4 linked regions of the Astyanax mexicanus genome follow. The protein of the gene in region 4 interacts with the protein of the main gene of each other region in a pairwise test. Links are inferred from orthologs where the notes say so. Each region holds a gene or a part of one and is shown on either strand. Other genes may lie near its edges.

Region 1 (7,772 bases), on a different chromosome or scaffold from region 4:
AGGGTTGGTGTGATAGCAGACTTTTCGCTGTCTGTGTGACTTGGCTGCAGTATTCCATATGACCACAGAGAATAAGGGCCATGAATACACACAGACACACACACACAGACATTGACACACACTCACCGTTAAGATGCAGCAGCTCAGGTGCTACATGTTTATACTGCTACTGGCCAAACGCCCCCTGATTAATGACCATCACATCCATGTCTGAAAAAGCATGCTGTTTGTTTTGGAAAACAGAGGCAGCTTTCCTGCTCTCCTTCATACATTTCCCACCATACACTGTTCTGGACACAGCAGGGGCGAGGCACGTAGGCTTGGCCGGACCGAATGTCTAGAGAGGTAGAGTGCCCTGGATGTAACCTCAGAATGTCAATTTACACTTTAGACATGATGCAAGGCTGTGCCACCTCGTTAAGTTTAATTCTATCAATTTCTAATGCATTTGTTTCCTGAAGAATGTTTATTATGTACATATGTAAAGAAAAACTGTGGAAATTTCAATTTATATATGATAATCAAACCTCTTTTCTCTAGACAGGCTGTATTTTTCTGTATTTTTAAGTCTCATATGCTTAAAAGAAAAAAACATGTATTTCCAATTTTGTCTACTTTTTGAAATCATTTGAATCTGACCACTGTTTTTACATTGTATAAAATTGTATAATGAATGAACCAATATAAATTCTTTAAATAACACGGAATATTTTTTTTACATAGATTTTTTTTCTTTCTCCTGTAAGGTTGCTGGTAGAGAGATATGATGATACATAGACTGAAGGCTTAACAGTGTGTTTAAAATCTTTGTAACATTATTTACATACTGAACTCTAAATCGGATTAGTTTGACATAGCCTTAAGAAAGAAATGGATGCTAGGAAAGCATATTGTTTTTCATTTTTAACTTTAACTTTCTTTCTGTTAAATATATTTATATGAAGGAAGCCATCAGAACTGCCATATTGTCTGTAATCTAGTCAAAATAACAAATGAACAGAATGGTAATTACATGATTTCAAAGTGGTTCTGAAATTAGCTTGCTTCTGGTTTGTATTTGCTTTTAAAACACATCATAAAAGGAATTTTGCATAACCACATAAAGCTAAACTGATTTGCTCTATTACTGTCCCCCACACACCCAATGTAACAAGCTATTAGGAGAACATTACTGTAGATATGCAGGGCATTAGTCGCCAGATATAATTTATCTGAACCCTTCTGGGGCAGAATGCTAAAATGCTTAGTGGAGCCTCTTTCACAATAGGGAAATTTGCAATTGACTACATGCGAAAAGGTTAAATGCCAAGTTCCACTTGTGAAAGCCAGAAAACTTTATACTGTTTTATTCATCTGGCTTAAAGGGTATCTGGCATAAATCAGGCTGGTGTTGCTATTAAACAGCCTTCTAAAATGCACATATTGTTACTATGAAAACAAGCGGGAAGACCATTAACAGCACCCATAATGTGCTAATTAAGAACAGAACTTTTTCAGGCAGTATGGGAAGGTGCAGGCATTGTGGGTAATTAACTGTTTGCATACTGGCTTGATTTATGCTGCTCTCCTGCAATACCCACTCCAGCGACCAGGGCTCAGCAGGTGCCATCCCAGTTTTCTGAGCAGTGTGTGTGGGGACATTCGGACAGCTGTGCTAAAATCAAAGTCTGAGTGGCCAGTCTTTTTGCCTGGGGTCGAACAGAAAAATTAAGATTTTAATTTCAAGTGCTGGCTGGACCAGTGCTAAGAACATATTCCAGACAGAAAGGCATCCAGATAAAGCTTAACAGAGGTCTAACCTGGGAGATGGCCACGGGTTTAGATTCAGCCCAACTGAAAGCAAAAGGTTTGGCTTCACAAGGCTGACACTACGCACCCAATCTGAGTGAACTCTCAGTAACCTGTGGAGGCAATCCAGGCAGATGCTGGCTAGGAGCTCCACTGCTTTGGTCTGGTATCTGCAGGCTCCAGATTTCTGAGCTAAAAAGCAAGAGAGCATCTTTCTGCTGCTGCTGACTGTACACATTGAGCACTGAGCCTTATCTGTCCATTCTGGCTCAGGCTTTTATCACAGCTGAAGGTGCATAATTAAAACAAGAAAAACGAAGCATGCTGCTTCAGTAAACAAGCAAGAGAAGTGTCATGTGTGTGTGTGTGTGTGTGTGTGTTTTGTTTACTTATGATACTTATGATATATGCAATTACTGTGTCACAATTATGTGACTAATTCCTGTCACATCAAAGCCATATATATCTTTCTCTCTCTCTCTATTTTTAGATTGTATTTTTTTGTTCTGTATTATTTTTACTTAATTGCTTATTTTTACCTCATATAAAATGTGATAATTTGGAATCGAATATTATTATATTCCAATATGCGTAGGATTTATACAAGTTTAGGGTTGTTTCCTTAGGGATGTTTCCTTGTTTCTTATAACAATGGTAAAATACTTGATACTGTATATATATATATATATATATATATATATATATATATATATATATATAGATATTTATTTATTTATTTGTGTGTCTATACTTGCATACATAACCTAGTTTTATTTGTTAATACAATCTAAAATCCCATACTTTTTATTGTATCAAAATTAAAGGTGTTACGTATTTATATAAGCAATCACAATACAAATACATACAACAATGTACTGTGTATATATAACAGTGTTGATGTAACACCTATATAATATCACATGCATTGTGCGGCACAATTGTTCTGCTCCTGTAGGCGTAATTGCTGTGTATATACAGGCTGTTATAGCATATTGCTGTGGATCTGGAAGAGCGTTGGCTGGTACAGGGTAATTACTCCATAGAGCAATCCAAAGGGCAGAAATGGAAATGATACACTGCTCCAAATTAAGTGGGAGTTAAACCTGTCTTTGTGGCCCTCTAATGCCCATATGACTGCTATTGTTTGTGTAGATGAGTCCAGTGTTGCTTTCGAGCAAACTGGACACAGGTTCTCCGAGTAGGAGGTGCTGACTGTATTACATAAAAGATAAATGTTCTGTTTGAGTGAATTATATTTGCAAAATACAATAAGGATTGGGTCAACAAGCAATAGGGCAGAGCGAGCATGCAACAAATATGGAATCGGCAAAGATTAAAAATGACAATGATTTTAAATAATATTTGCAAATAGTGTTGTGTTGGTTCTAATTAATTTGTGGCTTAGATGTCGATGTATTATGTAATTTAAACATATTTTATTTTGTATAAGTGCTTAGAATCATTTACTGTCTAGTAGGGTTGGGCGATATTGTAAAAACAAAATAATCTTGATATTTTTCGAATATATGCGCACCATTTAAATTGATGGCCAAGCCATTGTATCCTTTACATTTTATTTATTTATTTTACAAATAGTAAGTAACCCCCTTCAATCTTACATACAGCTTTTATTTTAAACATGGTGAAAACATAACATCCTTTTATTTTAGTTAAGAACAAGTGTAAATTATGTAACATTTTACATGTTTCGGACTGAAGCAAATGTTTATGTACTATGATTCCATGTAGCAGCTTATATATTTTAAGATGTACAATTTCCATTATCCTTTTTTGAAAATCACATTAATACAGTAATTCAATTAATCAAATTTGTTAGATATTCTATGGATATAGACATTCTATAGACATTCTATGGATATTTTCTACAGTATGTAACAGAGACAAATAAAGAAAAAAACAGAACAACTGCATTTATATATGATTTATATTTACATACTTTTTAAAACACATTTTTGGCAAGAAAAAAAGCAATTTTGCTGGGCACAGAGAATCCAGACCCTTATTCTTTTATTCATCCTGAATGCAGGTAGCCCTCATTAGTCTATCTGGACACTGCCGGCCCCTTCTCTTTCCACACGCTCAGTATAGAACAGGAGCACACACGCACTAGCCTCTATGCCTTTACCTGCATCACCCCTTCAGAAACCTGCTGTTTTTATACTTATAAAAAAAACATTTACATATAACAAAATAGGAATTCAATTTGAATGATCTAAATTAAAACGATTTTGTGGATATAAATTGTTAGAAACTAAAACTGTTTATTGAATCCTTTAATTGATTGAGCTTGATTTTGTTTTTTTGGTATTTTGTTTCATATATAAAAAAAATAAAAATATATTAGCTATAATGGTATCGTTTTAATTAAATAAATGAATATAACCGTGTGCAAATTCATTTCATTGTTTTGCATTATTAAAATCAGGAGTTCCCAGTTTTTTTTTTATTCCTAAAACGGAATAATAAAAAAACAAGGAAGCGAATTTAATTTAATTCCTTTGTATGAGGAGTCCGCCCGTGTGTGTGTGTGTGAGAGTAAGTAAGTGCGTGTGTGTGTGTTTTAGAAACTGGCTGAGTGTGTATTTATTATCTATCAGTCTTTTTCTTTCTCTCTCGCTCTCTCTTTTTCTGTGCAGCTTCCGCCTGCTCCGCCATTCCAGCACTAAAGCAAACAGGGCGACTCTCCTAAACTCTGCTGCTCTTCACCAAAGCTGCCTTTTCCTTCCCTGCTTTTCAAACTAAAGCCTCTCTCTCTTTCTCGCTCTCTCTCTCTCGACTGCTCGTTTCCTCAAGCCCTTTTTTTCTCTCTCGCTCTCTCCCTCTCTCTCCCACACTCTCTCTCTCTCTCTCTCTCTCTCTCCCTCCAATACTTTCCTGCCCCTCTCTATTTATGAAAACGTCACTTCAAGTCCCTCCCTGTTTGAATCTCATTAGTTTCTTGTGTGTTTCTCCCTGTCAATAATCCCGAATCCAGACTCTCTCTATTTCCATCCCTCTCTATCTGTCAATCAGCGCCGCCTTTGAACTGAAAACCACTCCGACCAACTTCAACTCACTCAATCCGAGCGCCTCGGCTCCATCTCCGGCTTCTTTTCCTGCCAAGATCCCCCCTCTTCTTCTTCTTTTTTTGAGTTTTTCTACTAGCCGCCAGAGCTCGGGAAACGCCAGGGCAGACCCCCTGAAAACTACTCCTTAAAAAAAGAGACTCTGGGATTCGGGATCGCGGAGATCAAGGCTTTAAAAACTTTGCGTTTTTCGCCCCCCAAAATTGCTCGGGAAAATGCCGCAGCTGAACGGCGGTGGAGGGGACGATCTGGGCGCGAACGATGAAATGATTTCGTTCAAAGACGAAGGAGAGCAGGAGGAAAAGATCTCGGAGAACTCTTCTGCAGAAAGGGATTTAGCAGACGTCAAGTCTTCTCTTGTGAACGAGTCGGAGACGAACCAGAACAGCTCCTCGGACTCGGAGGTAAGCGGGTAAAAAGTGGAGTAGTGGAGGATCCGAGCGGAGCTCCATATTTTTACTATTATTCCTCCACACACTTCTGCTAGTTCTGCTGCTAATGTTGTTGTTAATGTTAACTTAACTGTTAACCTAGCAACCGTTGTTGTGTGTGTTTTTGGTGGCGGCTAGCTAGTTAAAGCTAAGCCGCGTAGGTAACGTTAGTTAGCTAACTTTACTAACTAATAAAGTCGCTTTTCCCAGCGTGTTTCTAAAGCGCTGTCCCTGTGTTTGGTTGCATTTGAAGGCGGAAAGACGGCCTCCGCCTAGGTCGGAAACTTTCAGAGACAAAACACGAGAAAGTTTAGAGGAGGGTGAGTGAGTCTGCTCTTTTCTCCGCTCTAACTACACAAATAATACACCACACTTCTTTACTCTCTTTTAGCCTCTGTGTTTCATAACACGAGAACCTATCTCGTAGCCTTACTGTGAAAAGTACAAACACACAAAGAGAGACGGAAAGTTTATTTGAAGGTGCCTAAAAGAAAGTTTTCTTCTTTTCCCCCCGCCATGTTAGCTGCGAAAAGGCAAGATGGAGGGCTGTTCAAGAGCCCCCCGTACCCGGGCTATCCATTTATAATGATCCCCGATCTAACGAGCCCCTACCTCCCCAACGGATCACTCTCTCCGACGGCACGCACAGTAAGTGGCTTTATTTCTGTACCCCGTTTCTGTACACACACGTGGACACTCGCAGTCACAGTCACACACACTCGCTCCCACCCCGCACTACTGACACGCCGCGGGCCCGCGGTAAGGCGAGCCGGGCTGCTGGAGCTCAGAGCGGGAGGAGCGAGCCGGGCTGCTGGAGCAGCACAAGTTTGGGAAGTTGTCGCTGAGGTTAGCGGTGCTGCTCCCGCTGTAGGGCATGGCGCTGTACACACTCACTCACTCATCATACACACTCTTATACACACACACACACCGCCTGCTCCACAAACTACAAATAAAAATACAACAATCAGAAACACACACTTTTATTCCTGAACCGCTGCCCGACACGCTAAACACGCACGATGTAAATAATAATAATAAAAATAATAATAATAATAATAATAATAAAACAGAAATACTAGAAATAATAATAATAATAATAATAATAAAAATAATAAACAATAATATACAAATCGGTCACATTTAAATGTGATCATAATGTTGCTGATATTTAAATGATTGTTTTTTTACATTCTAAATTATTATTGTTTATATAAATGCAAAATAATAATTTGTATACATTCTTGCTACTTTTTTTTAAACAAAATGATTTATATGAAAAAAACACAAACATTTTTTTGTATGCATCTATATACAAATATATACATATACATAATGGCAACATGATGGTCAGCATGAGATGAGCACATTGAGCTGTTAAATGGTAATTAGGAGCCTTCAGCTCAGTGAATCTGAGACTGCATTACATTATATCCCCCAAACCGTAACATGTGAAATATTCAGTAGCACTTTTAAGGAACCGTTTACATATTTTTAAGCAAGTAAATATTTGCATAAAATATGCACGCCTCATAAAACATTAATGTTTGTATTGACAGCAATTTTGCAAGACATGATTGACCTTTTTATGATCAAAGAAACCTACTAATACACATGCATATTTAGAATGTGGCATACGTCTGCAAAAATGCACCTGTTTTATTTATTGATAATGTAACTATTTACTTATTTAGTTTATTTTACTTTGTTTTTGCTTTTTTATTTTTTTTTAAATATTAGCATCGTTAATATAATTATGCATGTCTACACTTTTTCCCAGTGCATTCCCCTGTTCCCAGAGGATATTAGTGGTGCTTTAACGGGGTAATTTTCTTAATACACTGCTGATATTTTTATTAATCACTTTAATGCCAAAGCAATGCTGTAAGACCTGTTCGTCTCTTGTTTCAAGCTTTAGACAAATTGCAGACGAAACAAAACTGGCTATATGCCTCATCACTGCACAGGAATATTTAATATCAAATAAAATTTTTAAACTGCATGCAGATATAATAATTAAAATAATTGCATAATTTACATGGGACTAAAAAAGTGTGTTGCTAGAATGTAGGTTAAAAACAGTGTAAATGCATGTTTGCATGTGTGGCAATTTAAAAGCAGTCTGTTGTGCGTAATAGTGAGACACAGGATCATTGATTCACTGCTGTGTGACTGCGCTGAATGTCTATCAGTGCATGGCCATTGCCAGCCTGCTTCTCCAAAAAAGATGCTTCTTTGTTAAATTCGACTTTCACATTACGCTGTACTCTAGCCACCATTCTTTGCTTTCTCTTACGCACGAAAGTCTTCTGGAGTGTAATACCACAACAATTACAGTAATACCCAGTCAATTGCAGATGACCGGGGCATACATACACTGTGGTGTATATAAATAAACACATGCATACACACACACCCTAATGATCGTAATGAATTTGCGCAGTCATTTAAAACCCAAAAATGTGTG
Region 2 (7,383 bases), on a different chromosome or scaffold from region 4:
TACTTCACTACTGTACTTAAGTACTAAAATGCTGTATCTGTATCTACTATAGTATTATTTTTACTTCACTACTGTACTTAAGTAATAAAATGCTGTATCTGTAACTACTGGAGTATTTTTTTTTACTTCACTACTGTACTTAAGTAATAAAATGCTGTATCTGTATCTACTGGAGTATTATTTTTACTTTACTACTATGTACTTAAGTACTAAAATGCTGTATCTGTATCTACTGGAGTATTATTTTTACTACACTACTGTACTTAATTACTAAAATGCTCTATCTGTATCTACTGAACTATTATTTTTACTTCACTACTGTGTACTTAAGTACTAAAATGCTGTATCTGTAACTACTGGAGTATTATTTTTGCTTCACTACTGTACTTAATTACTAAAATGATGTATCTGTATCTACTGGAGTATTATTTTTACTTCACTACTGTGTACTTAAGTACTAGAATGCTGTATCTGTATCTACTGGAGTATTATTTTTACTTCACTACTGTACTTAAGTACTTAAATACTGTATCTGTATCTACTGGAGTATTATTTTTACTTCACTACTGTACTTAAGTACTAAAATTATGTATCTGTATCTACATAGCTGAGCGAATCAAGCCATGATCTTATAAGCTGCTGTCTGTCTGCAATATGATATTTAAACATTTGACTTTCTGTAATAACTACATAACACATTACTGTACTTTCACATTCAGTACTACAGTACTATTCGTACATTTTAGAATACTTTAGTACAAAAAAATATACTTTCTACAGTATACTTAAAGGTACTTCCACTTAGTTGTGGTTGCTTAAAGAGCTCTTTAACTTCTTTGATCGAACACTTTTTTTACTCAGATCTGGGTCTTTACTATTGTATACATGTCTGCTTTGAGGCACCACTTTAGCATTGTGCTAACTACATGTGCAACAGTAACAATACAAGCTTTCACCACACTGTATATCAGGGTCAATATCAATATAATGTGCCTTTTTTATCTTAGCATAATTGTTTAAATTTCATACAAACACTGTGTAACACTACCTTTTTCAGAATTTAAAACTTTGACTCTGAATGATTGATAGATAGATAGATAGATAGATAGATAGATAGATAGATAGATAGATAGATAGATAGATAGATAGATAGATAGATAGATAGATAGATAGATAGATAGATAGATAGATAGATACTTTATTGATCCCGAAGGAAATTTAGCAGCCAGTAGCAGTTACACAACACAGTCGAAACAAACAGTACACAGTAGAAACAAACAATAAGTATTATAAAATAAAATAAAAGAGCACAGTGAGGAATATAAGACTCTAAACTATAAAATTATAAACTGAGACTTAAAAATATATACATAAATATATAAATACAAAAAAACTATACAAAGTGTGAAAGTAATCAGTCATAGATATGAGGTAGTGCAGTAAAATAATAATTTAAGTATAGAAGGTATCAGCAGATATGACAATATTAAACATAAACCTGTGCAAGTATTGAATTTAAGTAAGGTGCGTAGTGTAGTGTCCAGGAGTGCAAAAGTACAGGATGTACAGTAAAGTGACAAAGTGTCCAGGGGTGCAAATGTACAAGATGTACAGTAAAGTGTCCAGGAGTGAAAAGGTACAGAGTGTACAGTAAAGTGCCAAGTGTCCAGGGATGCAAATGAACAGCACATGAGCACATTATTACAAATATAGAGGAATGGTAATCTCCACATAATCAGAAGTTATTTATATATTTTCTACAGTTTTTGATACAATTTTATATATGTAGGATTTTGCCATCTCCACAGGGCAGCCAGGTCATGAACATATTTTTTAAGTATGTTTTTGTATAGTGAATCTGATTGTGGTTGGATGAGAAGTATAAACATGTACCATTCCAAAACCCTGTTGGTTTTAGCAGGTATCCAATCAGAAGTCATATTTTTGTATCGAGACAACACCAGTAGGAGGAAGTTGTGAAATTGGTAAAATACATACTGTACTAAATACAGGTAGGCCTCACTAGTAAAAAAAAAAAACCTGAAACTCATTTCAGATGCTCACTACTGTCTCTGCTTGGCCTTGGAAAGTGCCTGTGCATCATAACCAGCGCCGCAGCAGCCAAGACAAAGTTGAGTGTACGTGGTGGATGCATCTGCTGTGGCTAATTCCACGCCGCCGTCCTGCGCAGATGGTTCAGCGGGTGAATTTGCATCGTCAGTGTTTCGCAGCCTAATCCGGGGCCTTCACAGGTTACCTGGTTTACAAGCAACTTTAATAGGCGTTTTGCATACTATAAGCTCCTTATATAAAGGCAGGGTGGGGTGGAGGGGGCAGAAATAAATAAATAAAGCCTATGTTTAGGGAAATGAGCTGATGTGGAGCGGCGCGGTGGGCTCGCAGAGATCCCAGCTGCATATGCTGGTAAATCGCTGCTGCCTGCTGGATTTGGGCACGGGCACAGTGTGAGCAGGCCGCTGCCAGAACCCCACGCTTCGGTCTAATCTGCTGCTGTATAGCACTGTGGTCTGGTGCCTATATGGGCGACTGAGCATCTGTCTGTCTGTGTGTGTGTGTGTGTGTGTGTGAAGCGTGCAGAGCCATGCTAAACATGGGAAAGGTGCCTCTACAATTTTACAGAGAGAAGGAGTGAGGAAGTTTCTTTTTGAACATTCAGAAATACTGGATGAATATTATATATATTTTTTTATTTATATGATTGAGTGCTAATTGTGTCTAAATTTACTGTTTTTGTGATGTTGCATGTATCGGCATATTCGGTATAAAGCACTATAGGTATCCGATATACACATTCACACTAAGAAAAATAAGTACAGATTTGCACTTAAAAGCTTGTCGATGGGGCTGTACCTTATATTAAAGGAGAACTCCAGTGTAAAATTGACTTTAGGTGTAGTAAAACATGATAAACCACCACCGCTCTCCTACAGCTTTCTGAGCGCTGGTAATTTTGTGCTTTTCCCCAGCACTCTAATCTTTACTGGTATAAAAAAAACATGTACAAAAAAGACCTCACTGAAAGATACTCTATTGTACTTTAAAGGAGAACTCCCACTGCCCACCACCGCTCTCCTACAGCTTCCTACAGTTTCCAGCACTCTGTACAAGAGCCGTATCGGGGCATATTTCGGCTCTATACCTCCTTGGTAGAATCCGGAAAGCCCTAACATTTAAAATGTGGCATTAATAATTAAAAAGTGCACAAGAAGCAGCTCAGAGTGCTGCCATCACTGTAGTATATATATATATATATACATTCATAGCCTGCCTCCTGGAACCGGCTGCTACGCTATGCAGAGTATATGTATATATATGTCTGTCATTATCAGTACAGTGATGGCAGCGCTCGGAGCTGAAGCTAGCATTATGCGATGTATACAGTGTTTTTTTGGGCTTCTTGTGCACTTTTTTCAACTTTTCAAGGTATTAATGCCTTATTTTAAATGTCAAGGCTCTCCAAGGATCTAAAAATAATTAGAAGAAGTTCATAAGAATTTCATCATAATGTGATTTACTGATTGATTTAAATCTTAAAGTTAACTAAACAGTAAGCCTACAGTTCATAAACCACAGTTTTAAATACTGCCAATTCATTTAGAACTGATTTGAAAGCAGGACCTGTTTTATATCATAGCCTGCACTGCACTCTGGTGGTCAGATTTTTGGTGGTCTGGTGGTCGGAAATAAACCACAGGACTCATCTTCCCTGTATTAAAAGAGAAATAATATATATATGTTACAACCTTTAAATTAACCTATAATAATAATAATAATAATAATAATAATAATAATAATAATAATAATAATAATAATAATAATAATAATAATAATAATTAAGAAAGCACTCGTCAAATAAAAAAAAAGCAAAATAATTTCTTAAAATGTTCTAGTGACTTGAAAAAAAATGGCGAAATTATGTATAGAGTAAACTGAATCTGAAATGTCTCCATTCAAGTTGCCATATGATAAATTATGTCATTATACGTCAAATTAGGTATATCAGTCATTTTAATCGACAACCAACTACGGATGTCAGACCAAAATAGCTTACTATAATAACATTTAACAAATAAATGTATAGATTCTGTCTCTCCAGAGCAAAAAGTACAGGAGCCCGTCTGAATTTTGAATCTTTTATATATAAGGTCATTAACAGGGTTATTGTACTGCTGTTACAATTTTATAGTTTTTTTTTTAACGTTGGGAGTATTAGGACATGATAAATATTGTTTAAAACCCGTATTAACTAGCATTTGTATAGTAGAATATTGGGCCTAATTTCTACTATTAACCTCAAACATCTGAGGGACTTTTGTCTTGCCCATGTGTTTTTCCATTCTCCCGGAAGACAGGACTTTTATTTTGTTTAGAGAAGCTTCAGCCCACTTCTTTGCTCTGTTCTCTGTAGGGGAGACTGCTCTGCTGAAGCATGGCTGCTAAACGGGCTCTGGTGATTCTGTCGAAGGGCGCAGAGGAGATGGAGACGGTTATACCTGTAGATGTGATGCGGAGAGCTGGGGTTAGTAGAAGCTTAGCTTAGCTTAGCTTAGCTTAGCTGTCAGGGCTGTCTAATAGCACTGGGTGCTAACACAAGTGGGGAATAGCCACTGCAAGAATATTTAAACTGATTATTTAAGTGCAATATAAGTGAATAAGCTTTAATAAAAATATTTGGATTGTGTCAAAAGTGATAAACATAAATAAAGGCTTTGTATAGGATTTTTTCCCGTTCCACCTTAAATGGTGAAGCGGTTACGTTCACCATTTAACCCAGAACGTAACACCATTTAAGGTGGAACGGAACATTTCCACAAACCAAAATACTCTGTGAAGCATTTGGCTGGACTATTTATTATTAAGGTAGCTGTTAACTTGCAGTTTCTCAGGCTGGTAACTCTGATTAACTCTTGCTATTCCTTTCCTGGGATGGTCCTGATGAGTGCCACTTCCATCATCATAACATTTTTAATAGTCTTTGCAACGACTGCACTTGAGGATATTTTCTTGAGAATAAGTTCTTGAAATATTTCAAATTGACTTACCTTCATTTCTTCTTGAAGCCATTTTTAAGCAAGTCTTTTCTTAGTTGAGTAGTTCCTGCTTCTCATAATATGAATTAGAACATTACTTAAACAGCTGTTAACTTTACTTAAAAGCCTAAATTCCAGGTGACTCTATCTCATAAACCTGACTGTGCAAAGCTGTGCCCACATCAAATGTTCCACCTTTTTTAAAAGAGTGGACGGCATGGCATAGCAATAATAATCATTGACTAACCAATTCTGGCTTTGTGATTGGCTTCAGTCTAAAATGATTGACATGTCCTCTGCCCTTTGCTTACGCCCACTGGCTCTCTGGCCTGCACCAGAGGTGTTCAGTCAATGCAACTGCATGAGATTTCATAGTAACAGAACAAGGAATCGTCTGTTCCTGTGATGCACATAATATTTTCTTTTTCCATTGCGATGCATTGTTACACCCCTGTTATTTGAAGACCTAGCTGGTCAACCTGAATGCCAACATGAAGCCCAAGTATGTCCATAAGAAATCAAATAGTGCTTACTGCATAGACAATGCTGTTTAACCAATTTGCTTACCATAATAGAGTGTATTTTAGACTGGATCAACCGTATTTCAACCATTTTGACCATCAAATGCCAGCATAGACCATCTTAACCTAGATACTAGAAGAAAGACAAGCGTGTGTCCAATATAAAATGTATCAGGTCACAAAAACAGACCCATGTCTGTCAGTTTCTGGCTCACAGACTGACTGTATGTACTCTGGACAGTTGGCAGAGTGTGGAAGAGGAGTGGAGTGTAGCTAAATGTCAAAGTTTGCTGCTGCTGCTGTCATGGTGAGATAGGCTTTCATTTACAGTGCAACTTAGCCTCCTTCATTAAACTACATATAAATAAGCATGAAGGGCTCTTCAGGGTATTAATCAAGGATATTAACAGTCTTTGACACAAACTTTTCTGCAGTTCCATGCATCCAGAAAGGCTTTGCACTTGACACTCAGTGTTTACTTTAATTTTACTGTATTATTTAAGTATCAAAGACAATACACATTAATTGGCTAATTGTCATTTGCAGTCCATGGGCAGATAGATATTATATAAGAGGATCAGTCTCACAAAGCACTTGCGTTCAACACAATTTAAAATTACAAATAGGCCGGTCACGATAAGAATTCACAGAAATTATTGCGCTACACGATATTTTTGTAATTTTAAGACTATTAAATGCCCCTGACATAACAGAATAGCATAAAAAAAGCAATTATACACTTTTTAAAGACAACACAATTTGAATTAATCATTTAATACAGGGGTGTCCAAACTTTTTTTGTTGGGGGCCAGAAGGAGAAATATATGTGAAGTCACAGGCCACAGACTCTGTAATAAAACAAATAATGAAATATACCACTTTAAATAATAAATTTTCCTGATTACTTTCATTTACACACCATTTTACTTGACTTACTATCTTTATCTATCTTTGACAGTGTTGTGTAAACTAAGATTTTTCAAATTGTTCTTTCATTTCATGATGTCTCTTAATATTAAACTCCTTAATTACGGCAACTTTTAGACCCTTTTGCCCTTTTTCTGCGCTACAACTGTGCACTCTCTGAAGTCACGGTTATTGAGGCATGACAAAATACTGTTCACTGTTATATATATATAAATATGTTTATGCTTCTACCTCTTTTACTGTCTCACAGATTGCTGTTACAGTGGCAGGATTAACAGGGAAGGAACCAGTCCAGTGCAGCCGGGACGTCCTTATCTGCCCAGATTCAAGTCTAGAGGAAGCCTCTAAACAGGTACGAATTTCTTAAATTCCATTGTAATCCATTGTACTGTACTCTGGACAGTATTGCATTTACTAATGATAATGTTTGAGATTTTCAAATGGAATTTCACTCTTTTTAATACCTCTATATAAGTGGATCACATAGCTGTAAACAAAAAATTAACTTGCAGTGGTTTAATGTGAAATGACGATTCAAAATGATCAGAAGCATTTATAAGGGTAACTAGTGGTGGGTGATATGGTCCTAAAATAATATCGCGATATTTCATGGTATTTTCACGATAACGATACTCCTGGTGATATAACAAAACACTGCGTTAAAAAAAATAAAATGTTTCAAGAATACACCACTGAAACAAAATTAAAAAATTATTGTATTAATGCATATGCTATGGCACACCCCTAACTGAGATTTAAACTGAGAATTTTATCAAATATGTAACAGAACACAATGATCCAGAATGTTAATGTACTAAAAATGCACTCCAAATATATCTCCATATATCCAGGACTAAAGTAAAATAAATTATACTGGACAGATA
Region 3 (8,016 bases), on a different chromosome or scaffold from region 4:
AAAAAAGAACTTACAGTGGATTTTGTAATCCTTGTACTGCCTATCCTCAATAGCTGTGACGTAAAGAGTGGCTCTGTCAGGGAAGATCAGCCCGTCAGGTTTCTGTGTGCAAGAAAACAAATATTAACACTTAATTTAGCTTCCTGCACAAATACACCCAAAATATCCTACACATACACAAAGATTGTGAAGCGGGTTTTTGAACGCTTACCAGCCACTTGTCTCTGGCATAGATCACAGTGTTGAGCATGGACTCGTAGAAGAGACAGTAGCCCATCCACTCAGAGATAATGATGTCTACATGCTCCACTGGAAGCTCCACCTCCTCCACCTTGCCCTTGATAATGGTCACAACTGAACAGAGAACACATTCATGAGAATCAAACAGTCACCGCAACTTTGTGTATCTAAAGCAGACATCTATAATGAAATCCTTAAAAAAAAAAAAAAAAAAAAACACGTCCTGCCCTTGGTTCAATTACACACCTTGTAGTTTGTGTAAAATATGAACACTATGAACTAATTTAAAACTGACATGCTGGCCTGGTAAACTGCACTAACAGAGCAATCAGTAACAATTTTTTTACTGTCTCTTATATGACATATGCAGAACCACCAAAATAGAAATACACTTACTATGATCTAGCTTATTGGCCTTGACAATCTTCACAGCGTAGTCAGATATGCTGCTGCACTCAATCTAGAAAATAGACACAAATGTTAGAACACAACTTGTCCATTTAGTAACTTTAACAGAAACAGCAGTGAAAGTTGATTTCACACAAGCAGCGGATTTGTGTCCCAATAAACCAGGCTCAAACATTACATGTGTTTAAAACTGGTTTTCAATGCAGACACTCAAAGGTAACTGTTATATTAGTGTTGGGCAGCATACAGGTTCATACAGTATACCAGAGAGGAATTTAATACAATGTGCTCGTACAAACATGCTTCTCGTTCCCCAGACGAGCCCAGATTTGGTCCTGAGTGTGGGGTCATTAAACTCCCTAAAACTCAGGACACAAGGAAAACCCTATAGCTCTTAAATATATTATGGCTTAAACGTTCATTTTAATACACTGGACTTAATTTGTTTAACTGGAGCAAGGAGGGAACTGTGGCTGATTTCAATACTGTAACACCTCCAATGGCTTCAATAAAAACATTTTAACTTAAACTTATCTTACTCATGCAAGAGCTTTTAAAAAAAATCAATGTTTTAAATACTTCAAAATTGAGTATTTTTAGTCCATTTATAGTGTATAAAACTAAAGTTTAGTTTTGTAATGGAAGCAGGGTTAAAAGTTGTTTGTGTATCTCTTTAAAGACTATGGTGTGCATGCACATTTTCTGTTAATGAGGTGGGACTTTTGTATATTGTGTATACTTTTGTATACATATTTGGTCAAACCACACAGCACAGTTACTTACAGGTTCCTTTAGACACACTTCTAATTATGTTACATTATTGACTTGCACAACAAGAATGTCTACTTACCCCAATAACCTTCTTGGCACCAGCCTTAGCTGCAAACATACACAGGATGCCAGTTCCACTGCCCACATCCAACACCACCTTATCTTTGAACAGATGCTTGTTGTGAAACATGGAGTTTCTGTATGTGAGAGTTCGCACTTCATCTTTAAGCATCTCCTGTAAACACCAAATAAAAGCATTAGAAAACAGGTCGTAAGGTAGGAAATTAAGTCTAAACTATTAAATACTGTACAGTATTGAATACAGGGGTATAACAACAAGAGTACCAACCTCGTGGATGCCAAAGTGAGCATAGGAATCAAAGTAGTAGTCCTTGGACGTCATGTCTTCAGCCGCAGGCTTCTCTGAGCTCTCTCCCTGGGACACCTGGAGAACAAAGGATTAAATAAATACTACATTTAAAACAAAAGCCAAAAGAGTTTCAGCCTGGAGTTTTAAGTAAATTGTGTTTTTGTGGAATTTCGCAAGATAAAAAGAACATAAAAGAACACTTAAGGCCCCCAAAATAATTTTAAATGGAATCAAAACTTAAAAAAAAAAAAAAAAACACACTTAAATTCTTAAATTTAACACCCCACAATGGGTGGCGGACTGGAGAAGTTCACAGGAAAAAGGGGGGCAGACAAAGGCTTTTATCACTAACAGACCAGCACACGTGGTATGTAAAATAAATGAGGCCTGGTCCTACAATAAACCGTACTGTACTCGAGCCTCTGAAAGGGAAACGATCCTAAGAAATCATTTTTGTACCTTTTACAGTAAAGGGGTAAGGCCATGTAGATAAAAAATATGTCCTTAAAATTTAAATTCTCAGTTCCACCTTAAAAAGTACAGAAGTTACATTCTGGCGCCGCTAGCTCCATCTGTAGCAGCTGCGGTGCCATTTAAGGTGGACCGGGGAATTCGCGAGAGGCCACCTTTAGCTTCTATAGCTAAAAAAGGTTACTAGTTATGGTCAGTGGCTAAATCTCAGTAGATAAGCTTTACTACTTCAAAACTAACCAAAAAAAGCTCCAACTTCTAATATCACTTTGGTTAACACATGTAGAAACAACGAGGCGGCGGCGTTAGCTACCCGATCTAAGCTAACTAGCTAAGTTGGCTAACATGCTAACCTAGGTAGATACCCAGCTAGCCAATCCCATGCGTTCTCTATTAGCAGCACAGCTAACCTAGCTAAATAACTATAGACAGAATAGTGATTCATTAATAAATACAAACGGAGCAGTAGATAAAACAAACGGAATGTTTAACAGACGCCATAACCCCACGGCGGTACTGTGTGTTAGCAGATTAGCAACCACGTGTTAGTGGAAATGAATGGGGAGCGATGTGCTGCTAAAATGGATGCTCCTATACGCACATTACCGAGAGCTCAGGTCACTACGCAACGAGCTAATTAGCGAAATAAGCGGGTCAGCGGCTCCGCCACACAGCCTCTACCGAACAAACACGGCCCCTAAGCGCGCTGGGATTTCTCCCACATGAACCGCGGTCTCCCCCTGCCCGTCTTTGTTACGCGGCTCCAGCTCACCTCCATCCTGTCCGTCGTCTCCGCCATTTCGCCGACAAGTTTTGGACTCGCAGCTGCAGCGCGGAACATTAAACGCTCCCCTTTAGACTCCCGCCCACATACTCCGGCTCTCTGATTGGACTGCTGCGATGAAGTACCTCCCAAACTACGCCTTTTCCTCTAAATCCAGTCCCCATTGGCTCTAAATCCAGTCATCATATCGGTAATTGGGCCGCTGTAACGTGACCCCACCCATTGTAACGCCCTTTCTGATAAACCCTGTCGCTATTGGCTCAGTGTGAAGCCATCAACGCCGTGATTCGGGATTGTTTGCGATTCCAGCCCCAGTTCCTGCAGTATTTTCGCTTTTCATGTAAATCCTGACCAGTCCAGGTTTTAAATCCACTGAAGAGTTGTGATTGGACAGCTTTCATGTTGCCCCACCCCCGATAGCTTTTATTCTCATTTGAACGTGCCTTGTTTTTTGGAAGGATATTAATAATAGATACAGTCAGTTTATACATTCAATATCATACAGTAGCAGCAGTACTATGTCTGACATAATCATGCCAGATGAACTTATTTTGTATGTAAACTTAATTTCACTATCAATCAATTAATATGAATTCTTTTCAAATGTTTTGATCTAGTCATGGGTTGTAATTATTGCTTATCATTTGATAAAAAAAATTGTATAATTTTGATTAGAATGAACAAAAAAAAGGCAAATAATACTTTCCCTAATATTTGTGTCCATTCTGGCCAGTAAGACATGAGTTGTGTTCCAATTGCGTACCTACTAGTAGTAACTAGTTTTGGGGTATTTAGTGTGTAGTATAGATAAAAGTTGAGTATACTAAAAAATCTGCCAAAAAAGGAAAAACATAAATTATTTTTAAAAAGTGCCTTATGACTTCACTGCCAGTAAAAACGGGTTTATTTATTAATATTTTTGTGTGCTAACCTGCAAAACTCACACTATTAGGACCAGTATATAGTACATACCTATATTATTATTATGCAGTTCGCAATTGGGACGCACCCTTGGAAAACGCTAGAGGGCGCTCTTGAGTAAATCTAAAAAGAAATATTCCTTTTGTGTAAATTCCTAATTGTTAGATGATTCATCGTTTTTTACACAGGCAGTAGCAGCATATAACGTTTATCACTGACATGTATATAAGTGCTTTTTAACTTACAAAACTCACAAAACTACGTATTCACTTTTTGTAAACATCTTCTCTAATTAATGCATTCAATTACTTTAAGTTGCACCCATTGCTGGAACAAAAAGAGAAAAGTACACACACAGCTTATCTAGTCCCTGTAGAAAAGTTTTGCCAATAGAATAAGCCATCCCTGGACAATAGAGACAGTTACTCAGTTACTAAAAATGGTTGTTTGTGTTTCTACTGTAATACTGCATTAAATATTTTATTGTGCTATTGATATTGATTTGATATTGTTGTAAAATGACAGCACTGCATTGCAGTTACTGTGACAGGGCCTGAAATAAGCAGCTATCTCCCTCCATCGCAGAGTAAAAAGCTGATCAATGATGTCAGATAGAGTGTAGTTGCAATGATTGGTGTTGAGGATGGTGTAAAGTATACAGCAAAGGGAGCAATTGACTTTCCACACAGGGCAGTGGGTATTGCGTAATGATCATATTTATGATACTTCATAGCAAGTGACATTAATCTTCCATAATAAAGTCCACGGTGTGGTGGCACAGTACGTCAGGATGGTTTATTGCAGTGTGCAGTACACTGAGGTTAATGTTCCCAGAGAGCCAGAAAAACAGATGTTCAAGGATAACATGCTAAAAATCTATTTTTTTTATATAATATTGACAAATCTATGATCAAAACTGTGGTAAACCAGTGTGTCAGACATCAGACAGCATACCAAAATCCGTTAACTTTCTGTAAATGAGCTCTTAGAGATGGTTCCTTTCATTTGAACCATATCAAATAACTCAAATACGCTTATTTTCCGCTAGACTATTTGATTATATCATATATAAAATAAATATATTTAATGTAGAAACAAAGCAAGTTTTACTGATCCAGATTCAATTTAAACGAGCTATTAATGTTTTCATAACGGCATTACAAACTATTACCAGCCAATCAGCGTGTGCTGTGGTAGCAGGGGGGCGGAGCTTCTCGAGAGGAAGCACTAGAATCCTTTACTACTGATACTGCTGGAGTGTAGACGAACTTTGATTCAGTTTACCGAACCGATTCTTTCGAATTGCCCGATTCAGTGACTCATTCTCGTTTTTAGGGTGGGAGAGGTCCCGCAATTATTAGCTTGCTTTTTTTGTTTACATTGTGGCAAAAATCAAAATACAGCTGCATGAATCATAAAACGATATTCGTACACATAGATAAAATAAGATTGCAAATAATGTATTAATAAATAATAAAATAATAGATAATCTAAATAATAATAAAATAAAATAAAATAAAAAAACTGAGAAGTTGCAGATATTTAAAAAGTACACGTTATAAACATAAAATAATTAAGTAATGCAATTACATGTAGATTTTAATAGTTTTAAACAAATTGCATCATATACAACACACATTTTTTTACCACAATTTTACTGTGTGGAAAAAAACACAGTGTTTTTTTCTAGTGCATGCTGTGCACGATTAATAAACCAGGGAGCAGACAACATGTATTTAATTTCCTTATGCATGCAATGAATAACAACAACAACACAATATAATATTGTCTTTATTTATTTATCATGCATCTTCGTCTCTTCTTCTTGATGAGAATCGTGGTTCTGGAACCTACGAGTATCACTGAGTGCAAGAAACTAAATAAAAGTATAAATATACTTCTAACATAATGATAACTTAGTTTTGAACACTAAAGTAAACATTATATAGGCTGCCACAGTAAGGATTAATTCACTCTGATTCGGTTCAATGGATTTATTTGCAAATGAACCGATTCTTTCCCGAGTCGGACATCGCTATTCGTTCGTTCTGTCACGAGCCTCGTCCGTGAACACCGACCTGGCGCGGCAGGCACGAAACCGACGACCTCGAACCGAATTCTAGACTACATATTTGTGTTTTTCCAGCTAAATATAAGATTGTTCGCCGAAAAAAACGTTAGGTTTGACCGTCTCCGACCGCGCTGGTCATTCCGGGTGATGTATTCTAACGTTTGATAGCGCTAGCCTGCCAGCTAGCTGGTCCGCTAGCTCGCCGTGCCGTGACTCACAGCGAGCAGAAAGGAGATCAAATATTTTATTTTTTAATCGCTTTCCTCCCTCTCCCGGTGGCTGTTTATGTTGTGTAGGACATCCACTCATCTACAGTGTGTTATAGGAAAACGACCCGCTGTAAATTTGGTTTTACACACCAAGTGACTCAGTCCTGTCGTCGTTTGGGCCAGTAGTTAAATTTTGGACTGTTGGGTTTGAATGAATTTAAACGGCGGCGGTCGGAGCGCAGCGGGTTTCTCGCTTATGAATTGACAGATACATATTTTGAATAAAGAAGCACACAGGCAGAAAGAGAGATAGGTTGTAGACACTTTGACTTTCAGGTCTGGTTATTTCAGCTTTCACACAACTGTGTTAGCAGCTATCGTTAGCTAGGTGGCTAACTCTCTAGCACATTAAACATCCATCAAAAGCGCCAGAGTACGGGTTAGTTAACGTTAGCTTTAGCTAGCTTCTCGGCTAACATAGCTCTAGCTAGTTAGGTAGCTCAGTGGTGCTGTGCTACGAAACGAGCGTATTTTGTGGAAAGCGAGGTGAGCTAAACCGTCGTAGGTCGACAAAAAGTGGTTTATTTTTCGTGTAAGGTGAGAAGAAACAACAAAATCCTGCAAAGATGCCGGCTGTGTCGAAAGGAGACGGAATGCGAGGATTAGCGGTCTTCATATCGGACATAAGAAACTGTAAGTGCCATTTATACTATTAAGAGTGACTGTTTATAGGCCTATAGCTAATATAGAGGGTGTTTATGCTTAAAAAAAACGAAGCATAAGGATAATTTACAGCTGTTAAATAGTTAGCTAATGGTGAAGGTTAGGGAGCTGGTTTTGGTCCAACGCGGGTCTCCCTTGTAGGATGTGTAGATAAGCTAGCTAACTAGCTAGCGCTATCTAGGTGAGCTAGTTAAGTCTAAAGTAGCTATCTGGAAAGCTAACGAGTTAACCTAGCTAAGGAGAGGTCGTTGATTTAGTGTGCGTCCACTCAGGTTACACTGCTTTGGATGTGCTTGATATGATATATGATATTTGAAGGCCCTGCTCACTGTGGATTAGGCTAACTAGCTAGCTACATCCTGGAAATGATCTTCCACAGTTTGCAGAGACATGTAGGTAACGTAGTTAGGCCTCTACGATAAACCCCAGATTCCTCTAGAGATCCAACAGTTACACGTAGCATCTGTTATTAATTTGTCTTTGCCTAAATAAGCCAAGCCTAAAGAGGTCAGTCAGTCAGTCTTGTAGTGGAGACCGGGTCTTGTCTAACCCAAGTCTCTCTTGTGGGATGGGCAGGTAAGGGGGGGGGGGGGGGGTCGCTTCATGTGGGTTCCACCAACATTGCAATGGATGTTCTTGATATGTTGTCTGATATGACATGAAAGGCCCTGCTCAGTGTGGAGTACATCCTGGAAATGATCCTCCACAGTTTGCAGAGGCACGTAGGCTTCTTTTGGAGGCAGGATACAAACATAGCAACTTCATAAGCTGTTTATAATCCAAAAGTAGCCATGCGTTATTATGAAGTTTCATAGTGTTTTAATTTAGCGTAATGGTTTAGGTTTAACCCTGATCTGATTTTGGGATGAGCGTGTAACAAGGGGTCATTGCTCCACGAGAGTTCTACCTACACTGCTTTGGACGTGCTTGATATGATATTTGAATGCCCTGCTTGGTGTGGAATAGGCAAACAAGCTAGCTAGAAAGTTACATCCTGAAAATTATCTTCCACACTTTGCAGGGGTAATGTTATGTAGCTAGTCAGCTA
Region 4 (8,368 bases):
TACCCACCCAGAGGAAGCAGGACCAATTTTTGCTCCCTTTTGAGCGCCGGCAGCTTGATAGCAAAGCTGCATGAGCGAGGGTTTGAACCGGCAACCTCCTGCTCATAGTGGGAGCCTTTAGAACGCTGGACCACTCAACGCCCATATGTTGACTTTTTGATGTACTTTTACTAATTTCTAATGTATCTATTCATTTATGTTCCTTTTTTATATCTGTAATGCTAAAATCATTTTTCCAGTAAACTTTAATATTTAAAATTCTAAACTTCATGGACTCAATTGTCATGGTTTCATGCTCTTGGATTTCTCACATCCGAGTTTTATCCAAGTCATGCTGTGGTAAATTACCCTACAGCTTTTGCCGTTTAAGCCCGGTAAACCATCATGGTACGGGGTCACAGTTCATTTTGCATAAACGCATGCAGACTGCATGATACAGGCAGAAAGTCTACAGAAGGAACTAATGTTCACAGGAATGTTGCACCCATTGCTGTGCTGAAATTATGCCCCGCCATAGGAAATGAATGGTCGCCTGTTGCTTTCCAGTGTGAACGCAGGGTCAGGGGCTCGTACTGTCTCTCTCTCACTCTGTCTCTGAACCACTAGTTATCTGTCTCATTCTCATTTGTGGGGTTCCTCCATCTCTCTTTCTCTATAGTAACATCTTTAGGAAAAATATTTGTAGTTTAGGCAGTTAAAGTAACGCTGTTTTTGTTCCAACAAGATCCAAAAGTTGGAGCCTCTCTTGATGACAGTAGGAGAGAACCATGGTTTCAAGCATTTAATAAAAGTGCTCAAGACCCGTTACAACATTCCATCCCAAAAAACAAAACATGGTTATATTGAAATTCCATTGTTATCACAAACATAATAAAAGAGAGGCTATACAGAACGCCCAGCCTCTTTATTTTTTCCACCATAAATACCGAAAACATACAGAACCCCTAATAGCAGCCCAAAAAAGTAGGCCTTTTTTGTTGCAATCGTTACTTTGTTGTGGTGCACATTTTTATTACTTAAGAGTATTGCATTTTCATATGTTATTACTCATATTTTTTTCATTTAATGGATTTAATTTATTTGATTATTTATTTTATTGTTTATATCTAGGCTGTTCCAAATTAAAACATATACTTAATGTGTTTAAATCCTTAATCGAGTCTCTAAATGTATTAAAAGACAAAACAAAAAAGATTACTTTAATTAAATTTAAAAAAGGAAAATTAAAAACATTGTGTGGGTTGTTTACAATACTCTAAATTGAATTGTACCACAGTACCACCGATCCTGCAATGTTATTGGCGATGGGCTGAGAGGTGTTCTGTGAGTGCCATTATCAGCCGGTAATGCACTGTCACCGAGGCTCTCCATGTATTACTCCGCCACATACAGGTAACCTAGCAACAATGCAGAGCTTACAAGCCAAACAGCACAGCTAGAAACAGAGCAGCAATGGAACTCTTTTAACTCTGAGTGTCTATAACCAAACAGATCATATTTTCTCATCCTCTCTAACTCAGTCTTTCAGTAAACAGTGATAACATAACTGTGGTATAATTGGCATAATACACGTTCTTGCTAGAACATGTAATACTGGCACCGCTGTGCTGATCTAACAGGCCAATAGAACACATTATAGCACTCCCTTTTGTGCATTATTGCTGAATCCTCATCATAAGAATTTTATAAAGGAGCACTAAACAAACATTTTGGATAAAAAAAAAAAACTGTACAAAAGACTAAGAAAGTTAAAATGTAAACAGCAAGGGTGTAGATAAAGGTTAATTAAACTACATAACAAAAGAGAAAAAAAGAAAAGATTCCATGGGCCATTAAAGCAGCTCTGAGGTCATTACATTTTATTACCTTCAATACTGATAAGTCCTATTCAAACTGGTTTCGTTTCACTGAACAGTGGCAATCATTTTTATGTCTAATTCACATTTATAGGTCTGATTCTTTAACAAAAAAACAAGCTTAAACCCATACACCTACCTCTCCAAAGAGTTTCTCGTTCTCTACTTTCAGGACATGGCCTTCCTTCTTTGCAGTACTGAAAGGTGACTGTGTGATGTGTGTTGGCTTTAACTCTTGGTCTTTAGATGGAGTGGACCCTCGAAACCTTTGAAGACGTAATGTAGATGTGGAAGGTTCTTCGGCTTCATCATCATCGAGGATCACAATGCTGTCCATCGTGTTTGTGACACCTACCACAGTTAATGACATGTTAGGTAAGGAAAACTGTTGAGCAGCGTAAGAAAAATAGGAGCATTAGAACTGGATTCAAACAAAGTATACATTCCTTTTTATATTCAGTCTTAACACACAATTTACTCTGATGCTGCTGGAAACACATTTAAGGCCGAGCTACTGTTTTTCCTGTCATTACCCCAAGCCCTTAATAATATTAGATTTTAAGAAGATCGAAATACCTTAACTAGTTAGCTAACCTAGGGTGTGCCTTAAGTTTAACATTAATAGTCTTGATAGTTATTTCCGTCAAGAAAGACTTAAGTTACACCTAGCTACAGCCAACTAGTTTAGTTAGTTAACGAACCTTGCTAACTAAACAACTAACTACCAAATTTTGGCAAAATAACATAACTGCACCTTTAGAATTTTGATGAACACAGCGATAAAAAGTGCTCTTAGTGACTCTTGGCGTTTTGAGGTTACAGAATTAACTTAGTAAGGTTCACTCAGTCTTATAAAACTAGACAGCTAATAATGGTAGCTAGGAACGAGCCCCGCGCAGCTAAACTAGTTTCGCTAACTAGTTTAAACTATATAATAGGGAATAAACTGAGACAGCCAATTAACTTCACCATGTAATTTAGGCTAAACATGAGTACGTGGCACTTACTGCCTCAGCTACGTCTCTATTATAACGCTAGGTTAACGCTAAATAGTAAAAGGAAGCTGTTTAAACTGGCGTTGGTGTCTCCATTAGCTAGTTAGCTTCCTCGTTGTAGTTAGCTAGCTGATAGTTAGCTAGCAGGCTAACCTCCTGTCTGTTTAAAACCCTCACACTTAACGTTACTCCTAGTTGATAACTAATCAGTAAACTACACTGTTGGCGGATATTATACGGTATATTAAAAGCCATACAGCCGGTCCTCACCACCCATAAACACACATTATACTCATAGTGAACACGCTGGAACAAGAAGGCAACTTACGCGCTCGATTCTGCTGTATTTAACAACTCGCTAGGTTGCCAGGTCTTTGTGACAAATCCCGCCTTCAGACAAGCAAAAATAACTGACTCTTAGAGGAGTTACAGAAACCGCGCAGTAACACAGACCCTCCACTGAACACTGCTCTTTTTTCTTGCTTTCCTGACGAGCGTTCTCGTTTCACGCAGCTTTATCCGATGGAGGTTCTTAATTCAGTATTTATTCCTGTAGAAAATTCCGCCTAAAAACCATCATGGCAACACCGCGCGCACTCGTGAACAACGGGCCCCCGCGGTTCGGTCCGCGCCGCTCCGCTCCTACGGGATTGGCTGCTCCAGTTTTCTTCAGCCGGTTTTCCTCCGCGTTCAGCGGGACTTGCTCCTCACTGTCGCCCCATCTGGAGCGGAGGAGTCAGAGCCGGTGTTCTGTCGAGTTGTGCCGCCTTGCCAAACCGCGCTACCCTAGCGTATATTTTAACCGTAAAAATACAAAAGAAGCAGAAGTATCCAGCAGAAGTATCTACCCAGTAGATGTAGCTAGTATATTTAGAATAAATCACCGTATCATGGTAAAGATATGGCAGTGAGTGCTCATTTCAAAATTCTTTTGTATTTTTTTATAATAATAATTAATTCAATAATACAATAATAATTATAGTATTTATTATTATCAATTTCCATTTACACTTTCGTGCAATGACAGTGAGTCCAAGTGGTTTCATGCGCAAAAAATGCACAAAAAAGATTTGTTATATAAAAAAAAAACACAAGAAAGAATCAAAACGCGTGGGTAAGCGCGTGCGTAGTGCCTTTAGGAAACACGTATGGATGGGTATCATAACTCGACAGAACACCTGTTCTACACCTGTTACGGAAAGCCTGCACGCTGCCTATCTATGGGTGACCGATGTTAACAAAAGTACACATATCTCGATAATCTCTGTAATTTTAACGATCTGTAATTTAAACAATATTTTGCAATTTTTTAAAATGAGTTTGTAAAAGTAATATAATGTACTAGCCTGCACATCTTAAAGGATAATAATAATTATGTAATTGCTTTACTAAATATATGAACGGAAACAATATGTTTAAGGCATTTTTTTATTTACTTTTTTATTTCAAATATCACACAGTGCACGTGTGTAAACCATGTGGCCTATCAAATTTCCTTAAAGAGGCACTAAACCGTAAACCATTTTTCTATTACTAGCTGAAATGTGTTCAGTTGAAGTAATTCTTATTTTTTTATAAACCTTAAAACTTAAAAACTTAAAAAAAAAAAAAGCGCTTTTATTGCGGCCATTTCCGTGTCTGCAGTACCCTCTCAGGTTCAACTGTGCTATTGGCAAAGATGATGTTTCCATGTACTTTGGTATGCAAACAATCACAATAAGCAGATAAGACAATTAATTATACCGCTCCATCTGGGTCTCACCACTATCAGAGGAACACTGCTGCTGCAGCTCAGCCAATCAGCTCACCCTCCTGCCCTGCCTCTAAACCCATAAATCACCCAGTACCCCTCCCAAACTACCCCTCCCATTTTACTAATTTGAGCCGAGGGTGGAGTCAGCTCAATTCCGGGGGTTTAGTGAACCCCTCATTTTATAGGTATTTAAATGTAATTAAACGAATTAGCATTTGATTGGCAAAATTTTATTATATTTATATCAGTGGTGTAACTCATCTAAAAAAATGTATTAATCACCACAGTATTCTATGATTAATCATAATTAAAATCAATATTTATACTTGCCCATATTTTTGAGTGGAAGAAAGTAAAGTAACAGTGCAGTGGGTTAGGTCTGGCAGACTTTTTTAAATAAGTACTTATGAGAGTGAGAGATCGGGTGTGAGAAATGAGAGAGAGTCTTTAGCACAGTGACTCTGTTGAAGAAAAAGAAAATGTGGTTGTAAATAGCAGATAGTTGGATAGGTAGCTTGCTGGATTAGTATCTGCGCTCAGCCATGCCAATAAACAAGACAGCATCAGTCTATAGCAAATGTGCGAAGTACAGGTGTTTTGATTGTTTTCCCTAGTAATTAGCACAATCGATAACGTTATGCTGGAGCAATTACGATATTATCATAGACAATATTTATATGACACCCCTATTTCTGTTTCCTTCGTTTTAATTATAAATAACTGTAAACCGCCAGGGGGCACCTGTGAGTGAGTCTTCAGTAAATGAAAGTGAAGGTGAACTGAATGGCAAAAAACATATCAAAGTTTTATGTATTAAGTTCAGTGGTGTCAATCTTTCAAAACAATTTAATTCGATTAATAACAACAATATTCCAGGATTAACTGTCTTTAATCGCACTTGTTCTTCTTAAGAATAACATTTTTATAGTGGATATTTAAATGTAAATAAAGAAATGAATGTAGGAAATATAAAATGCAATTATATGTATATTAGTGGTGTCAATTTCTAGTATATTTTTGTATGTTTGAGGGGAGATAAAACCAATTTGTGTACTTTATTGTAAACATTTCTGTGTAGTTTAAAAATCTCAGGAAGTGTTTGGTATTACACACATGCTCACAATGGGGGATGAGCATTTAAATGGCCTGGGTAAAATATGTGACGTCCAGTATTCAGTAATGTATACACTGTCCATTTAAGAGACTCTTAAGTTAAATGCGTGGCACATGAGAAGATTCTGTGTTACAGTGCGTATATCTGTTCAGTGTGAAGCTGCTTTAACACAGAATGCTGAAAATGTGCCGCTGCACTTTCAAACACAGTGTTTTTAATGGGACAAGCAGCATAGATGTCCTTGTAGTATCTTTAAAAAGATTTTTATCCAGTGTCCAAAATCTAGAACTCTTACATCATACTACTGCTATATACACTATTGTTAATAGAACCAAGATGGACAGTAACAAATAAACAAAATGGACATTTTATTTTAAGTCAGCAATTACTGCTTAGGTGATGAGCAACATGCTTATTTATTTATACTATGTATTTGAAAATTAGTTCTATATTAGATGTAAAACTTTTTTAAATGTTTTGATACTGAAGTTGAGTAAACGTGACAAGAGACATTTGGTACAAGCCTACAAACTTAGAGTAATTATTTAAATTTACCCTGGGTGCATATAATTCATATAATAATTCATTTAATAATTCGTTTTCATATGACTTAGTCATGTAAGACTTCAGAAGCTTGGAATACACCAGTAGTCACACATTTATTTTCAACTTGTGCATCACAGCTCTTACACACATTAACAAACAGGGGTTAAAATAAACGATGAACAGGTAAAAAAAAATTAAAATTTATACAGTCATTTTCAGAGGATTCATGACATGGTATTTCAAAAGATAAAAGAAAAGAAAACTTACAATATATTTACTTAATTAATCATCAACCAATAAAACCCAAACAGGTCTAAATGAAACAAAAAAAATAAAATAAAACAAAATTCAGAAAAGACATAAAGACACCTTTTCCCATTATTTTAAAATACCACAACACTATCTCAGTGTTTATTCACAATCTGGATCATGAACCAAGCACAAAAATATCAGTATAATCATTTTAAAGAGATGGTGTACTTTTTTACTGTGGCTTCTATCATCATCTGCATAAACATAAGTTCTAATCAAGACATCCAGGAAGACATTTTCAGCACTGCGATTACTTGTCCTTCTAAAAACAAACAAAAACACAACCAGTTAATACATGCCAGTCATACATGCTATATGAAGGGTGCTATATTTATGATTATCAAACAGATCAAGTAGTGTAAAACTCAGAAATTACCTTATCCCCTGATTCTTGTGCTTTGGAAGACCCTGACATTGGTAGAGAATTAAAAACAAAGAATTAGCTTTGAATAGTACCCCCAAGGATGGAAAAAACAATGCATGCTAACACAGTTAATAGTAAAAAAGTATTTAGAGACACTGACTTTACCTGAACCTCTATCAGTATAGCATCTATTTAAATCTTCTTTAGTAGGACACATTATGCATGCAAGGACTGCACTTTGCACTTTTAGACAAAATGTAGCTTACCTGAAGATGTGAAGGTCCAGAAAAACACCTTTATTACACCATAAAGCACAAGGGCTACAGCAACCATTGCCATAGAGTCCTCTATGGAAGGAGCACCAACACCTGAAAAACAACAACAAAAAATATTTCACAAATGTGTAAGTAAATTCAAAGTCATTACATCTTGCTTCTGACAAATACTATCACATAGAATTTTACCCAGCAATGACAGCATGATGAGCGAAAAGGCATTGTCACTCACCAACGACATTCAGTGTCACACTAGCTCGTCTAAACCCTCCTTTGTGATCGGCCACGCAGCTGACCTCACCACCACGTCCGAGCCCAAGCTTGCTGGAGTCCAGCTCTATACGAGTGCTCTGGCTGTAGGTACCATCAGATGCCTGCCTGTGGCCCGACACACTGCCCTGTCCAAGGGACCGCTTCTTACCATCAGCTCCAGTAAACTCCCAGCCAAGCTCCAGAGAAAGAGGAGCAAAACCAGAGGCCTCACAGTGCACTGACACCACCTGCCCAGGGGCGGAGATGGGAAGAGGGGATGGGTAGATGCCAAGAGACGGAGGCTCTGAAAAGGGAAGAGATTGATAATAGAAATTCAATTAAATTATATGTGTTTTTCTATGTATTCCAATGCTGCCAACCAACTCAGTTGTGATTATGCAAGGAGAAATATATACTATATTATTATATCTTACCCTATTATATTTTATCCCTATTATATCAAAATTTTGGATTATGCATGATAAATAAATTATATTGGTAGAAATACACCAGTTTTCAGATATTTTGCCGATTTTCCACCACTGCATAAATTACAAAACATAAATGTATTATTGTCTTGCTTTTCAAAAATATGTCAAATTTTACTATACATTATTAGGTCCTTTAACCTAATTTTGGTTGCCAATTATTCAGTGCATCCCTAATATTGGTAGGTAAGTAGTGGAAAATACCAACAGTTTTTAAAAATGCAAGAAAAAATATTTCTTTTGTATTAAGCAGCAAAAAAAACAAACATGTGATGCCCTGTGATCTGACTTCTGCATATGCACACATTGCGATGACGATGCATAAATTATATATTTTTACCGCCCTAGTCCAGACCATGGTTTGAGGCCCCTAAATTATAGGCCCCATTTGATGCCACCAAACAAAGTGAATC

The links.
Region 1: the proteins of daxx (region 4) and tcf7l2 interact in binary tests that used the Homo sapiens proteins (3 or more experiments, as listed by UniProt). The link is inferred for Astyanax mexicanus from reciprocal best matches to the Homo sapiens genes DAXX and TCF7L2.
Region 2: the proteins of daxx (region 4) and park7 interact in binary tests that used the Homo sapiens proteins (3 or more experiments, as listed by UniProt). The link is inferred for Astyanax mexicanus from reciprocal best matches to the Homo sapiens genes DAXX and PARK7.
Region 3: the proteins of daxx (region 4) and prmt1 interact in a two-hybrid assay, tested with the Homo sapiens proteins (2 studies listed by BioGRID and IntAct). The link is inferred for Astyanax mexicanus from reciprocal best matches to the Homo sapiens genes DAXX and PRMT1.

Annotation. Positions count from the first base shown.
Region 1 is NC_064422.1:31,930,796-31,938,567, reverse strand, and holds the start of tcf7l2 (transcription factor 7-like 2), read left to right. Parts: upstream 1-4,470; 5' UTR 4,471-5,089; coding exon 5,090-5,278; intron 5,279-5,558; coding exon 5,559-5,625; intron 5,626-5,828; coding exon 5,829-5,953; intron 5,954-7,772. UniProt on the Homo sapiens protein: Participates in the Wnt signaling pathway and modulates MYC expression by binding to its promoter in a sequence-specific manner. Acts as a repressor in the absence of CTNNB1, and as activator in its presence.
Region 2 is NC_064431.1:4,261,978-4,269,360, reverse strand, and holds the start of park7 (Parkinson disease protein 7 homolog), read left to right. Parts: upstream 1-4,378; 5' UTR 4,379-4,450; coding exon 4,451-4,540; intron 4,541-6,749; coding exon 6,750-6,851; intron 6,852-7,383. UniProt on the Homo sapiens protein: Multifunctional protein with controversial molecular function which plays an important role in cell protection against oxidative stress and cell death acting as oxidative stress sensor and redox-sensitive chaperone and protease.
Region 3 is NC_064426.1:20,248,436-20,256,451, reverse strand, and holds the start of prmt1 (protein arginine N-methyltransferase 1), read right to left. Parts: upstream 3,189-8,016; 5' UTR 3,102-3,188; coding exon 3,033-3,101; intron 1,865-3,032; coding exon 1,769-1,864; intron 1,655-1,768; coding exon 1,499-1,654; intron 701-1,498; coding exon 637-700; intron 355-636; coding exon 212-354; intron 103-211; coding exon 15-102; intron 1-14. Other genes in the region: ap2a1 (AP-2 complex subunit alpha-2), read left to right, coding at 6,872-6,938. UniProt on the Homo sapiens protein: Arginine methyltransferase that methylates (mono and asymmetric dimethylation) the guanidino nitrogens of arginyl residues present in proteins such as ESR1, histone H2, H3 and H4, FMR1, ILF3, HNRNPA1, HNRNPD, NFATC2IP, SUPT5H, TAF15, EWS, HABP4, SERBP1, RBM15, FOXO1, CHTOP, MAP3K5/ASK1, MICU1 and NPRL2.
Region 4 is NC_064410.1:22,184,039-22,192,406, reverse strand, and holds the start of daxx (death domain-associated protein 6), read right to left. Parts: upstream 3,144-8,368; 5' UTR 3,129-3,143; coding exon 3,122-3,128; intron 2,208-3,121; coding exon 1,996-2,207; intron 1-1,995. Other genes in the region: tapbp.1 (TAP binding protein (tapasin), tandem duplicate 1), read right to left, coding at 6,827-6,838, 6,953-6,984, 7,207-7,308, 7,448-7,771. UniProt on the Homo sapiens protein: Transcription corepressor known to repress transcriptional potential of several sumoylated transcription factors. Down-regulates basal and activated transcription.